Linked DNA regions of Drosophila melanogaster. The protein of the gene in region 1 interacts with the protein of each later gene in a pairwise test. Each region holds a gene or a part of one and is shown on either strand. Other genes may lie near its edges.

The links.
Region 2: the proteins of CG3225 (region 1) and Rip11 interact in a two-hybrid assay, tested with the Drosophila melanogaster proteins (one large-scale study listed by BioGRID).
Region 3: the proteins of CG3225 (region 1) and CG10927 interact in a two-hybrid assay, tested with the Drosophila melanogaster proteins (one large-scale study listed by BioGRID).

What each region holds. Positions count from the first base shown.
Region 1 is NT_033779.5:4,815,096-4,820,133, forward strand, and holds CG3225 (uncharacterized protein), read right to left. Parts: upstream 3,151-5,038; 5' UTR 3,072-3,150; coding exon 2,943-3,071; intron 2,879-2,942; coding exon 2,787-2,878; exon of another isoform or gene 2,721-2,786; coding exon 2,627-2,720; intron 2,569-2,626; coding exon 847-2,568; 3' UTR 821-846; intron 797-820; exon of another isoform or gene 763-796; 3' UTR 688-762; coding exon of another isoform or gene 585-687; 3' UTR 529-584; downstream 1-528. Other genes in the region: CG15629 (uncharacterized protein), read left to right, coding at 1-528, 585-687.
Region 2 is NC_004354.4:18,644,506-18,649,515, forward strand, and holds the start of Rip11 (Rab11 interacting protein), read right to left. Parts: upstream 3,063-5,010; 5' UTR 2,716-3,062; coding exon 2,685-2,715; intron 1-2,684. Other genes in the region: Nup35 (nucleoporin 35kDa), read left to right, coding at 3,801-3,951, 4,011-4,855.
Region 3 is NT_033778.4:18,611,343-18,614,817, reverse strand, and holds CG10927 (uncharacterized protein), read right to left. Parts: upstream 1,729-3,475; 5' UTR 1,692-1,728; coding exon 609-1,691; 3' UTR 578-608; downstream 1-577. Other genes in the region: mRpS28 (mitochondrial ribosomal protein S28), read left to right, coding at 1-153, 215-336, 394-577; CG42697 (uncharacterized protein), read left to right, coding at 2,123-2,335, 2,392-2,527, 2,740-2,810.

The DNA of each region.
Region 1 (5,038 bases):
AGATCGGGAGCAGATCTACCAGCGTGCCAGCCAGGTGACCGAGGAGGTTGGTCCCGTCGACATATTGATTAACAATGCCGGTATCGTGTGCTGCAAACCCTTCTGGGAGCTGCACGATCGGGTCATCCAGAACACGTACAACATTAACATCATATCGCACTACTGGACCGTGAAAGCGTTTCTGCCTCACATGATGCGCAATAATCGTGGTCATATCGTTACTGTGGGCTCGGTAACTGGAATGCTGGGCACCTACGGATGCAGTGACTACGCGGCCACCAAATACGCCTGCATCGGTTTCCACGAGAGTTTGCTCACCGATCTGAAGGCCCATGGCTATGATCAAATCCAAATGAGTTTGATCTGCCCGTACTACATCAACACGGGCATGTTTTCGGGTGTTCGGCCGCGGATGATGCCCATGCTGGAGCCGCAGTATGTGGCGGATCGCATCGAGAACGCCGTGCGCTGCAACGAGGTGTGGTGCGTGCTGCCCAACTCTATTCGCCTGCTCACTCCTCTCAAATGGTAAGTAGTCTATTTAACATAGTTATATACAATGTAATTAATGCTGGTTTTCTCAGTCTTTTGCCCGCCAAAATGTGCTGGGAGCTGATGTCGCGTGTCATCCGTGGACCCGAGTCTATGATGATGTTTCAGGGACGAGGGCGCGTCGCCGCTGGTTAAACACACAATAGGAATCATCATATGGAATCCATTACCTAAGCTTAAGTTCTTTTTCAAGAGGCGGCATCGTTTCACCTATAATTTTACAATAAACTTAGTTATTTGATTTAATGAACTATTTTAATAGACTTACACCTATCATTAAGGCTTTAGTTCCTGCTAATCCCGCACTGTGGTCTGTTGGTAATAATGCGGCGCCAGCTCCGTCAGCCACTCTCTCTTGATTACGGTCACGTAGTTCATGAACAATTTCGTCGTTTGGAGCAGTTCCCCATAGACCACGTACTGAGCTTGAGGAAGTGTGTAGAGAGTGGAGTTCGGATGAATGGCCAGTTCAGTGCCGCTGCTGATTTGTCTATAAACTCCAGAGTGATGCAGATAGGCCACCTGTGTGAAGAAGCCGGCGGTGATGCACTTGCACAACTTTTCCACATCGCCCTTGCACGAGAAGATTGGAATGCCGTACTTCTTTCTGGCCACTGTGATGAGTTGCTCCCTCAGCGAGTGGGCCCTCTTAAGATTCCTGTAGATGAGGAAGTATTGGCCACAGAACTCCTTGGTCATGCCCTCCTCCACGAAGCCAGTGTAAGCGTTCAACATCGTAATAAAGTCCCCTTCCGCAACTTCGAATTTTCGATGTGCAATGCGTCCACTTTGTTGGGCAACCGCTGAAGCTGGGCGCGAAAATATAGACTGCACCTGCAGCAACGCAATGATGGTTATGATCTCCTCGGAGCAGCCCATCTGACCGGAAACATAGAGCATTTTGGAGAGCATAGCGCTGAAGGGGAGTTCGGCCAACAGGTAACCCACGGGCTTCGTCAGATTGCCCTGCTCATCGATGGCGTCCAAGGCAAATAGACTCTCCAGTGCGGAAAGTAGATTCTGTGCCGGTGGTGGCGATGGGAAATCAAAGCGCAATATGTTCCCGATGCCCAGCGCCTTTAACTGCAAGATAGCGCCGCTCAATTCGCTGCGTCGCATTTCGGGTGGCTGCCGAGGAGCTAGTGCTTCATAGTCTGATTTAGTGTACAAACGATAGACCTTGCCGGGACGCATACGACCCGCTCGTCCTGCTCTCTGGATGGCCGACGCCTTGCTGACGGGCACTATAACCAAACTGTCACTGCAGGTTTTGGGATTGTACCATTTTACCTTGACGTAGCCGCAGTCTATCACATAAACAATGCCCGGAATGGTGATGGAGGTCTCTGCTATATTCGTGGCCAGCACCACTTTGCGGGTTCCTTTGGGCGGGGTAAAGAATACCGACAACTGATCAGTGCTCGACATACTACCATACATGGGCAGCACCTTGAGATTCTCCTGTTCCGAACTGGCGATGTATTCGCGCAGAAGATCCAGCGCCTCCAGGACTTCCTCCTGGCCAGTTAGGAAGGCCAAAATGTCGCCAGGCGGCTCCTTTTGATGCAGTTTCCAGACGGTCTCCACAGTTTCCTTCACATAATCGGCGCAGGGTTCGTTCAGATAGAAATTACTCACAGGATGCATGCGACCTTCAATGCTTAGCTTAACGCTCACTTCGCCCGATCCTGGCCAGCTGAAGAACTCGCTGAAGAAGCTTGCATCTATGGTGGCCGATGAAATGATGAGCTTGAGCGAGCTGCGTTTGCGAAGGATCTTCTTGAGCAGTCCCAAAATCATGTCGGTGAGCATATTCCGCTCGTGCGCCTCGTCCACGATGATAACACCATATTGGGTGAGCAGCGGATCGGCTAGGACTTCCCTCAGCAAGATGCCCTCGGTCATGAACTTGATTTTGGTACAGGAGCTCATGCTTTCCAGGAAGCGAACTACATAGCCCACCGTGTCACCTACCAGTTCGCCGCGTTCCTGTGCCACGCGATTAGCCAGCGTAACCTGGAAATGAAGTCTTTAGTTTTAGATTTTATAGTTGCTTTGCTTTAGGATTACTTACGGTGGAAACGCGTCGTGGTTCGGTGATGCCAATGAGTCCCTTGGTGTGCCAGCCCCATTCATACAAATACTGTGGCACCTGGGTGCTCTTGCCACTGGGAAATATGAAAAACCACAGAGTTAGAAGCATTACTTTGAAGCTCATGGAATTCCATACAAACCTGCCTGTTTCACCCACTAGTATGACCACTTGATGCTTTTCCAAGCAGTAAAGTATTTGATCCCGGTACTGACGAATGGGCAAACGTTCCCTCTGTAATAATTTAAGTTTAATTTGTTATTCTAGCAAATGTTTACGAAATATTTTGTAAGCCCACCTGCTCCATGAGTCCCATATTGTGATTGACATTGAATACAAAGGCGGAGGACTGCTGTTCACCACCGGCACTATCTGTGATTGCATCGTCCGTCTCGGGTTTTAGGAACTTTGGCTTAAAAGTGCTCATTTTCAATTATTTACTTCGTTATAGATTCAGTTTTGAAATTAAATAAACAGCTGATGGACTCAATGCATTGGTGCAAAATACCAAAGCGCGCAAAAGAATGTTAGGAATTTCGTTTAATATAAACTAATGGTCACACTTTTATTTGGCGGGAAATTGCATTGTATTGAAATTTCGATTAACGATAACCATCAACTATATAATAAGTTGAATTGCCCAAAAACCTAAGTATTTACTTAATCACTAAGTATACAGTCGCCTAGTTGAGGTCTATAAGAAAAGAGGATAATCAAATTTCACTATATTTTAGTTAAGATTTAAAAATGCAAAATATTAGTTTTTAGAAATTGTTTGGCTAGTACCTCAAGCTTATACCTTTGGTACCCACAAATTATAATATATTTGATTTAGTCGACCATTTCACGAGCCCCAATGGTGGCAAATGTCCATAACATTCACCTGTATTATTCATGCACATGTTTTTGTCCATTTTGCGGGCACGTTGCAGCACCGACATGTCCCCTATTGCTAGTGAAAATAACTCTAATTGCCAGTGGCAAGGCCACTTTGCTCCTCTGCATACCCAGCAAACTCATTATGTACTATAAGGTCGCCCTGGCCACGTGTGTGTGTCAAAAGTGTCCCCCGAGTTTTGTGCAGCTGTCGGCGACAGAAGCGCCCGGCCAATTGCTTTTGAATAAATATTGTATTGTATCTCTCGAGCAACAAAACACACACATTGTTTTGCCCGCTTGTATTTTTTTTTTTGTATATATTTTGATTTATGCACCGTCAGTGGGTATTATATGCATGCCGCCAATATTGGGACGAGTAAGATGGCCGTCGATTCCACACATGCAGGACCCCCGTATTCTGCATTGACCCTGACATTAAGAACGCTCGCTTTAACTTTAACCCCATCCGATGCGATCCGAACCCAACCACCAATTTCAAGCCAAAGCAAAACACGTGCCCGACATGCACGTTTGACCAACCACATCCGCATGCCAGTGCTGAAACAATGGAGCCCAGCTCCACTCCACTCCACTCGACCCGAGCCCAGCCCCCATGGCGTATGAGTAATCCGAGAAAAGCTAATTAAAGGCCAGCGGCGAACTTCATGCCAAGGACGAGGCGCCAAGTCGCCAAAGCCAAGCGAAAGCCAAAAACTCTGCGAGCAGTTTGTCAACACCGCCGTCCGCGGAAAGTGCTTCAACTAAAAGGCACTGAGAAAAAATGTTTTCACTTTCCACTCAAGCTGATATCAGCATCACAGGTAAAGAGGTATCTTCGCTACATGAGAAAGATTATAGTTTCGAAAAGTGTTAAGAACGATGCTTCAGTATTTAGTACTACATCTTAAATTGCAAATACTAAAATATAATAATTTCCGCTGTGCATATGGATTAGTCATTTCATTTGCCTTCTATCCCACTTAATAGTAGTTAAGTGAATATTTAGTTACATTGCGGGTTATGGGAGGCTGTCACATTTTCGCACAGTGTGTATCTTGTCCGTTTGGCGTCCAGTTCCAGTTTCGGTTGCATATAAATTTTAATAGATGCGCCCAAGGCCAGAGTTTTACTGTCAAACGGCTGTCGGCACTCCACTGCCGGTATCCAAATTCCGATTCCCCCGTCTTTGGGCACCTGACTAAATGCCACAAAACTTAAAGGGCGGCATGAATGCTAACTGTTATTCCGGCTTTTACGAGCAAAGTTTCCTTGGAAATGCCAGTGGAGGGTACGTTCCTTTTGTTCTATCTACGTATTATAACTATAGTTTCGCGTTGACGACCCTGATTACAAACGCCGGAGTTGTGCGTCCTCGACACCCAGCGAGTGGTGCGAAAAGGGGCTGGCGTCATTGTCTTTGCGTGCCGCGAATTTGCGTGATTCATGATGCATGTGGCAGGGCGGCAAAGTCGCAACTCAAATGCAGCACACACAAAGTGCACACGAAAAAAAATG
Region 2 (5,010 bases), on another chromosome or scaffold:
TGGGGACTGGGGTTCGGCAAGCGCCGGAGGAATGTGGCCACTGGCCAAGAACTGGAACTGGAAAATAATCAATTGCAGACCCGCGATGCGAAGAGACTTTCGGCCAGCGATCCCATCCAATGCCAGACCTGTTTTTCTTCACTATCCCCTCCCCTCCCCTCCCCCTTCCATCATGATCATAAGACCAAACCCCGGACCCATCCCGATCCCATCCGATCCGCTTCGGTTTGTTTGGTTCTATTCTGGCTAAATGGGTCGAGCAATGGAACGTAACTGTTTCGCATAAGTGCATCGATGGAGCCGCATTAAAACGGTCTCACATGGACGATGGCATCGCCGGGCAGGGTGCGGAAGAAGTGGACACAATCTCAAGACGCCATCTGCCCGCTGACGTGACCAGAGGTGATCCAGCTCCAGCTACAGTTCTAGCAACAGCTCCAGCTCTTATCGCACTGATTTCCTTATCGATTCGGTGATAGTAGGGGAAATACAGTAGAAGCTGCCATAAAGATCATTTTTCAATTTAATTAGAATATCTATCTTTTAGTCGAACGACACAATATCTTGCTTAAAAGGTTCAGAAGTGTAACAGATTACTACGTATGTATCACACGGTTCCATTGTATTTTTAGCAGTATAAATACAAGAAATATAGGTTTGTTATATAGTACCTGGTACCTGGCTTCCGCGTTAGCAGGTATTCACTGTGCCGCCACCATTCATTATCGATAAAAAAAAGGGCGGTCTGGTCCGCTCTGATTTTCACTGCAACCGCATAAAATGCGTTGCAAAAGCAAGCCAAACATAAACCAAAAACCAAAATGGAAATGAAAAGGAAAATTAGGCGTTTGTTTTGTTTGGGTCTGCTTGGCTGCCCGCCGCTCATTGCACAATTTCCCGCTGAGGAATTTTCATTTTCAGGTATTTTAGGCATTTATTCAGTAGGTGTGTCCGTAGATGTGCGAGTTGGAGTAAGTAGCCGAGTAAGTGAGTGGAGTGAGTGAGTGAGTAAGTGGCGGCCAAGAATTTACGGCTAAAAATAAGGCACGCAATGGGCCAATTGGGTGGAGTTCGCAGTCGATAAGGAACTCTCCCAGACTAAATGGTCCCCAAACAACAAGCCATTAATAAGAGGGCGGGACGCCAGGTGTTTGCTGGATGATCTAACAGGGGAAACGAAAAAAGCACAGTGAAAGAAATTCTCTGGCATGCAAACATGCATGTAAACATGGTAAACTCAGATGAATTCTTAATTTAACTAGCAAATCTGGTAAGTAGAATTCAAAGCCTGCAGCTGTGCAATAATTAAAAAAAAAAAAAAACATGGCCTTTAATTTAAATATTTCAGTCCAGAATTGCCTATTCTATATATAAGTTAATAGTTTTGTATTTCGTTTTGAAAAGAGACAACAAAAAAAAAAACGAATCCTTTTGAGTCGCAATTTCTCTCTGTGTGGGAACACTATGGCATTTCAAAGGATAGGGAACAGAGTGCTCCTGAGAACAGCAGCGAAAACAGCTGTTTCCAAAGCGTGCGCGCTCATCTCATTCTCATCGCAAAGAAATTGGCAAATATTGACAGGTGTATTTATGTGCGTGTACATTTGTATATATGTACATATGAACTTAACAAACAAGGCGAAACTCGGCGAATTTGGGAGAGCCACACGGCGATGATTTGTTTGCTCATTCGCCGTGACGTCAACGGCTCTGGGTTTTAATCGCAAATTGCTGGAATAAAACACTGTGCGCTGTGCAAATATGCAAAATAAATGAAACGAGCGAATTGAGGCAAAGAACGTACTAACTGATAGCGGGGCAAGTTCAAGATCACAACAAGCTGGATCCGTTCATGTCAATGGAGCCCAGTGTATTTATCATCTTGATTTGTGTAAATTCCACGCAGCTCTAGATTGAACCACAATTCGTGACTCATTTACTCATTTGGCCGCCCAGTGGCCACTATTGCAACCAATAACTAACATTGCGGAAAACATTTCTTAAAGGGTCTTATTGGCCATGTTGGAGATATGAAAATATCTATGCTTTGGCTTTCAGTTATTATTTGTTTCCATAATCACTGGACTGGGAACAGCAGAATGAGCGCGCTTTGTGTTTTGTCACGAATTTGGAATCGGAATTCGCGATTTCTCATTGACACTTAGCCCTGAAGAAAACGCAAAACGAAAACAATGGCAAAGGTAAACAAGAGGCACCAAAAAAGCGCCACCATGGGCGTATGCTAAGGAATGCCAAGGGGCGGAAGGCGATGCAAATACATAAGGGGAGCGCTTAGCATGAGCAATTTTCTAGCAATGCGATGAGTAAGTGCGCATTCGAGCAAGGGAATTATCTTATCAGCCAGAAAAGCCTGATAAAAAGGCAATTGCTGGAGTCAGGAAAACACAAGAGGAAGAGCAAGAGGCAATGGCAAAAGGAGGAAGCGCGCGGTGGGGAAAAAGTGAAATTTCGAATTGGTACGTCTGCAGCAAAAGCAATAGGAACAACACGACCGTCATGACAATATTTTAAGCACACACCAACACAACGGCGCAGGCCACACACCCATACACACGCGGCACAAACGAGTTTAAGTTTTAATGCGATTTATTCGCCGTAAAAAAAAAATAAAAAAAAAACACAAATACTAAAACGGGTGTCCCCCGCTTTTCGCCCCCACTTACCCGTTACACTACAGTGCGTCGGACTCCACATGTCACCCTGTATCCCGTTGATCAAGTCGCACTCTCACGCTCTCTCCCGATCCCGATCCTTTGCTGTCTCGCTCTTGCTGCGAAGGTCCTGCCTTTCGTTTCTTCTTCTTTGCCTATATTGTAATTTGGATTGTTGTTGTCGATGTGTTTTGTTTACACTAATCGTTGTGTTTGTTGCTGCTCGCACACTGTGATTTCTTCTTATTGTTCTCAGTTGCCAATTTAATCACGCGCGACACGAACGAAACGCCAGGAGAACGTAGTGTAGTCTAATGTAAAAAAAAAAAGGAAAAAGACGGAGACGCGACGCGTGATGTTGTTGTTTGAAAGGTGGCCGCTAGAGTGACCGTTTGGGGGAAACGAAATGTGCCCACTGCCAGTCGGGGAGCTGCAAAAGTGCAAGTTGCGCGGCGCGACTGCGAAGAACGGCGTATTTAGTAGAGGTGGAGAAATCGATGTTGGCGGACATCGATGTTTTCAATAAAAACAAAAAAATTAACTGCTTAACTTAAAGATTATTATTTTTTTATAATTGCTTAAATAAAAAGGCAGTACTATAACTAAACATGACAAGCTTATTGCCGTCTACGTTTTTATCCGCCCCTGGTCCAATAATTGCTCCTATAAATCAAATATACTAATTAATGCAATTCAATAGAAAAGTAATTCAATAGAAAAGTAAGCCAGTATGCATACGAGCAGGTGCACGCATGCATACATGCATAAATATACGTGTCGTCTTCCACGACGCCAGCCAAGACCACCAGCAAGTCACTGAAAATTTGCAATATGCTATTAATAAATGGAAATTGGAAAATTTGGAAATTTAATTTATACTCACAATTTAAACACTTTTAACCTACGATGCGCAGTAAAGATGGAAAAACATCGATGATTCTTTGAAAAACATCGATGTTTGTGATTTTTCGAAAACATCGATGACATCGATGTTGGCATCCACCTCTAGCATTTCGACCCCAGCCCAGCCTGGTCGCACTAACCGATTACAGCTGTGGCGTCCTTGTTAATGCAACGCTTTTTCGTTTTTCGCCGTTATAATTATTATAATTAATATTCGCATTCGATATGGAGCCAATGAATCTGGGCAGCCCGGTCAACAGTCCTGGCTCCAACCAGACCCAGTATCTGCCACCTTTTCTGCTCGGCGATCCGCAAGGTATAACGCCGCACAAGAACACGCTGTCCCCGAAAACCGGGCGCTCTAATATAAGTTTCGGTAAGTAGCCGGCATCAAGCAGCTCGTACGCATTGGCTATATGAACACATGCCCCGCAGCCACCTCGCCCGGCGGCAGCAGTCCGCACGAGCTCAACCGCTCCGCTCTGAGCACACGCACTCTGTTCGCCGCCCAAGGAGGCGCCCACACGGCTGTGGGCGCCAACAGCTCAACGACCGCGCACGGCCAGACGCACAGCCACCACCAGACGGGACCGCCCACCCAGGGACTCTTCGACTCGCTGCGCGAACAGTCCGTCACCCCGAAGAAGAAGAACCATCTTGGCATGCTGCAGTTGCAGTCACCGAACCAGAGCTACCAGAGCAGCTATCACACGAATGACTCGTTCGCACCCGGGGCGCCCAATGCCATCAATGCCTCGATGCGAGCACTGTGCTCGCCACTTGGAGCCACTGCCTCGCCAGCTGGAGGCCTGGGCACATCCGTGACGACGGGCGGCAACTCGCGCCTATCCGACTTTTGGGTTACCATCTTCGGGTTCCCGCCGGGGGCCGGCTCCATGGTGCTGCAGCACTTCACCGTCTGCGGCACCATTGTGGACGTGGTGCATGCCCCGCAGAACGGCAACTGGATGTATGTGCGCTACTCCTCGCGCATCGAGAGCGACAAGGCGCTGAACTACAACGAAAAAATCATCGCCGGCAATGTGATGGTGGGCGTGTCGCGCTGCACGGATAGGTCGGTGATCGATAAGGAGAACATCGGCTCTGTGCCCAATGCAGAGATAGGAGATCCCCCCACCAGCCCCAGTGCGATTCGACCGTTTTCCCAGCAGTCGTACAAGCTGGCCCGCAAAGATAACATCATATCGCCGCAGAAGGATGTGCCGCAAAAGAGCTCCGGTCTGATGGACAAGGCCATGGACCTGATATTCGGCTGGTAAGAAGGGCTGATGGCAAGTCGGATGGATGGATAGATGGAGTGATGGAGTTTCCGGCTACTTATTTAATAATTCACTGCCTACATCCAGCATACATACATATACATACTTATTAAATGGAGATATATTAGCAATAGCATTAGCAAAAGAAGTCGAAG
Region 3 (3,475 bases), on another chromosome or scaffold:
CCCGCAGTGAATACGGAAACGGCGGAGATTGGCAGCAGCAAGGGAGGATTCGCCCGTGCCTTCGACAAGTACACGGCACCAGCCACGCCTCCACAGCTGCCGGAAGACAACCAGACCTTCGCCTCCCTGCTGCGCAACTCCAAATTAATTGATGTGGGTACATTATTTAAGTAATCCCATTGTTTATGTAATAACTTGTTGATTTCTGGAGCAGCTGGACAACGCCGAGGGCAAGGTGGTCAGTGGCAAGATCTTTCATGTGGTGGGCGATGATCTCTACATAGACTTTGGTTGGAAGTTTCACTGCGTCTGCAGTCGTCCAACACGCAATGCCAGGTGAGTTCAATATAATTTCCTGTCTCTTTATCCAATAAACCGCCTTTCCTACTTCAGCGACTATGTGCGAGGAGCCCGTGTTCGACTGCGCATCAAGGACTTGGAGTTGTCCACCAAGTTTCTGGGTTCGTCCAAGGATATTACCATTCTAGAGGCAGATTGCCATTTGCTGGGTCTCCTGTCCACGCCCACCCGCCAGTCGACGGCCAAAACAACGCCGAAAATCGAAGATATCCTATAAATCCTTTATTAAAACCAAGGTTTGTTAAACGTTACGTCAAGTCTTCATCCTCCTTGGTTGTGAACTGGAACACTTCGTAGTGATGGTTGAGTTCCCGCACCGAATGCAGTTGGAATCTCGTGGCTAGAGCTCCGTTTTCAGAGTTCTTAACGAAAAATACTCTTTTCGCCCTGCTATGTACCAGGGCCATGGAGCACATAAGGCAGGGTTCCTGCAGCAGATAGATATCGTAGCCGGTGCACAGATAGGGTCCGAATTTGGCCAGGTTATCTGCTCCTTGAACTGCGTCCACTTCTTTGCATTCTCTCGACTTTTCCGCTCCGAATGTCAGGTCTTTGTAGTCTTCATTGTTCATCAGGTAATCGTAGTAGGCTTTAGGAATACCCCGCAGAGTGGTATCCTTCTTGAAATCTTCGGTGAATGTAACCTCCGTTTTTGTGGCGCCTCCTTCTTGACTGCGAGCCACAAAATCGACGAGCATCATGCAGCAGTGCTCGTGCGGCCTACAAACTTCACCAGTTCCAGCAATGGACACAATGCTGGGTTGTCGCGGATCCACGCAGATGCCCACCGGACGATTGGCATTGACATCCCGCGAGAGCCTCACAAGCAATTGCCCGATCCTTTTGTGAAATGTGCGTTGTGCGGAGCTAAAGTTGCTGCCATTCCTCAGTGACTCCGAGTAGTGATTAGGGTGAAACTTGCAGGGCCAGTGCTTAAGGGTCTTCTCGTACTGCACCCGCAGTCGGGGCATCCGTTCCGGCACCTCCACCACCCGGACTCCCTGGCACAAAGCACGGAGCACGTGCTCCGAAAAGGCAAACTGTTCAAGGTGTTGTTCCAGGCTTTGAGACACTCCGATCTCTGAGCTGGGACATATGAGCACGCTGCGATCCTGGACGCGCTTTAGGTGTTGAAAGTGGGGCAATTTCTGTGAGAGCTCCTGGATGACCGCCTGGAGCTGCTGTTTCGTCTCCAACTCGCAACTGTGCGCCTTGATGAGCGCAATATCCTCGTCGAACTCATCGGAGAGGATGGCCCGGATCCCAGTTATGTCTTCATCCAGATTGGGTGATTTTCGAGCACGTTTGTTTGGTGGCGCGGATATATCCATTATTTACTTAATTCTTCAATTAGAAGAATGCCAATTGGAATCGATTGAAATAGGTTATCGATAAGTGCCAAGCGCTGGCGTTGAAACAGCTGTTTGGATATTAAGCGCCAACTTTGAAAAATGTCTTCTATTTAAAATATGCATTTAAAAATAATTTAGTGAAAGATTATACGTTTAAAAGTCTTTAAAGCTATTTAGCTTGGGAGCTGTTTCAAATATTTCCTACTTTTGATATACATTCCCTAATACTTAATCTAATCAGCTCAATAATCTGATCAATTGTCTAATTTGCATTATAATTCCTTACAACCAATATCTTTTTTGATGTCTACATGTAAGCAGTGCCCAGTCTGATACCCAAAGTTTAAATTCAAAATTCCAGTGAAATATGTGCTTGTGATTTCTAGTCAAAACTTAGAGGAAACATCGAAATGTGTCTGCGCTTGTTTTGCGGCTATTTGTCGCTTTACATTGGCTGCATCTTCATCGGCTTCACGGGGATGCTTCTAGCTTTAATGGTCTTTTCTGTGGGTCTATTCGAGATGATCAAGGGCAATCCGGAAACAGTGCTTGTGGTCATGGCAATGGTCTTTGGCATTGTCCAAGCCCTAGCTAAAATTCTTCTTCTCCTCGGAACGATGTGGGTAAGTGAATACTTTTATCCTTAAATTTGTAAAGATATCCAATCGCTGTTCTACAGGACATGTGCTGGGCCATGCTCTTGTCCTTTTTTATAGGTATTGCGGCCCTGGGGCTCCTCATCGCACTTGTGGTGCTCTTCTACATCCTCTTGTGGGACCCTCTGCACCTCCTTCTGGGCGGTTTTCTTAGCATACGTAAGTTGGTGAAAAAATTTTGAATTTCTTTTGGATCTGAAAACAAAAGAAGATAGAGAAGTAGATTAATACATTAACTATCGAGAACTTCTTTCTATAACACACACACAACATATAACACAAACAAGCAACAAAACGTAGTGGACTTAAAAAGTACATAAATTCTATTCACGTTCGATTTTTAATTAAAATAATATTTTTCTCTTATCCAGTCGAGATGTACTACGAATGGGTCATCATTTCAACCTGGTGGTGCTGTCGATCATGCACCCACGACTGCTAGGAGTTGCAGTTGGTTCCACTTGTTGCATGCATAGAAGATACAAACATACCATGTTGGAGATCGAACGCCTTGGAATGAGCATACTATGCAACTCTCAGCGATCTTCGCATCGGATGTAATACTGTGAGCACCGAGAGAGAGAGAGAGAACTTGTATTCGAATCCCCCCATTATTTGTGTATGAGGTGACTTCGTGCTCGGGTCTTCCGACTTGAGTGTCTTTCAAGTAAGTCAGTTCACTCTGAGACGCGCGCTGGATATGTCGTTCCTGGAGCGCTCGAGCTGTTCCTGCGAATGAGCGTGTGTGTGCCAGTGTACCGCCCCCTACCCGTCAAGAAAAAAAAAAGGAAATAAAAATATCGGCAGGAAAAATATCAAAAATTATATCTGAAAATACACAAGTGTATCTGCAAGTGCAGTCGTATATGTGAGACGAGAGTGTTTTCCATTTGCCGCAATTAGAAGTAACGGTGCGAAGGTGATTTGCACGGGAGAAACTGGAAAATCAGCGAAGCGCGAGATACTTGTATCTGCAATTTGTGTGTTTTCGTTTTGTTTTCGGTTTCGCAAATAGCAAGTGAAGAGCCCATTACTTTAATTCAATCAACGATCGGTTGTTGTGTGGCCCGCTTTTGGAGAATCCCCACAATTTGTTCTAAGCCCAAA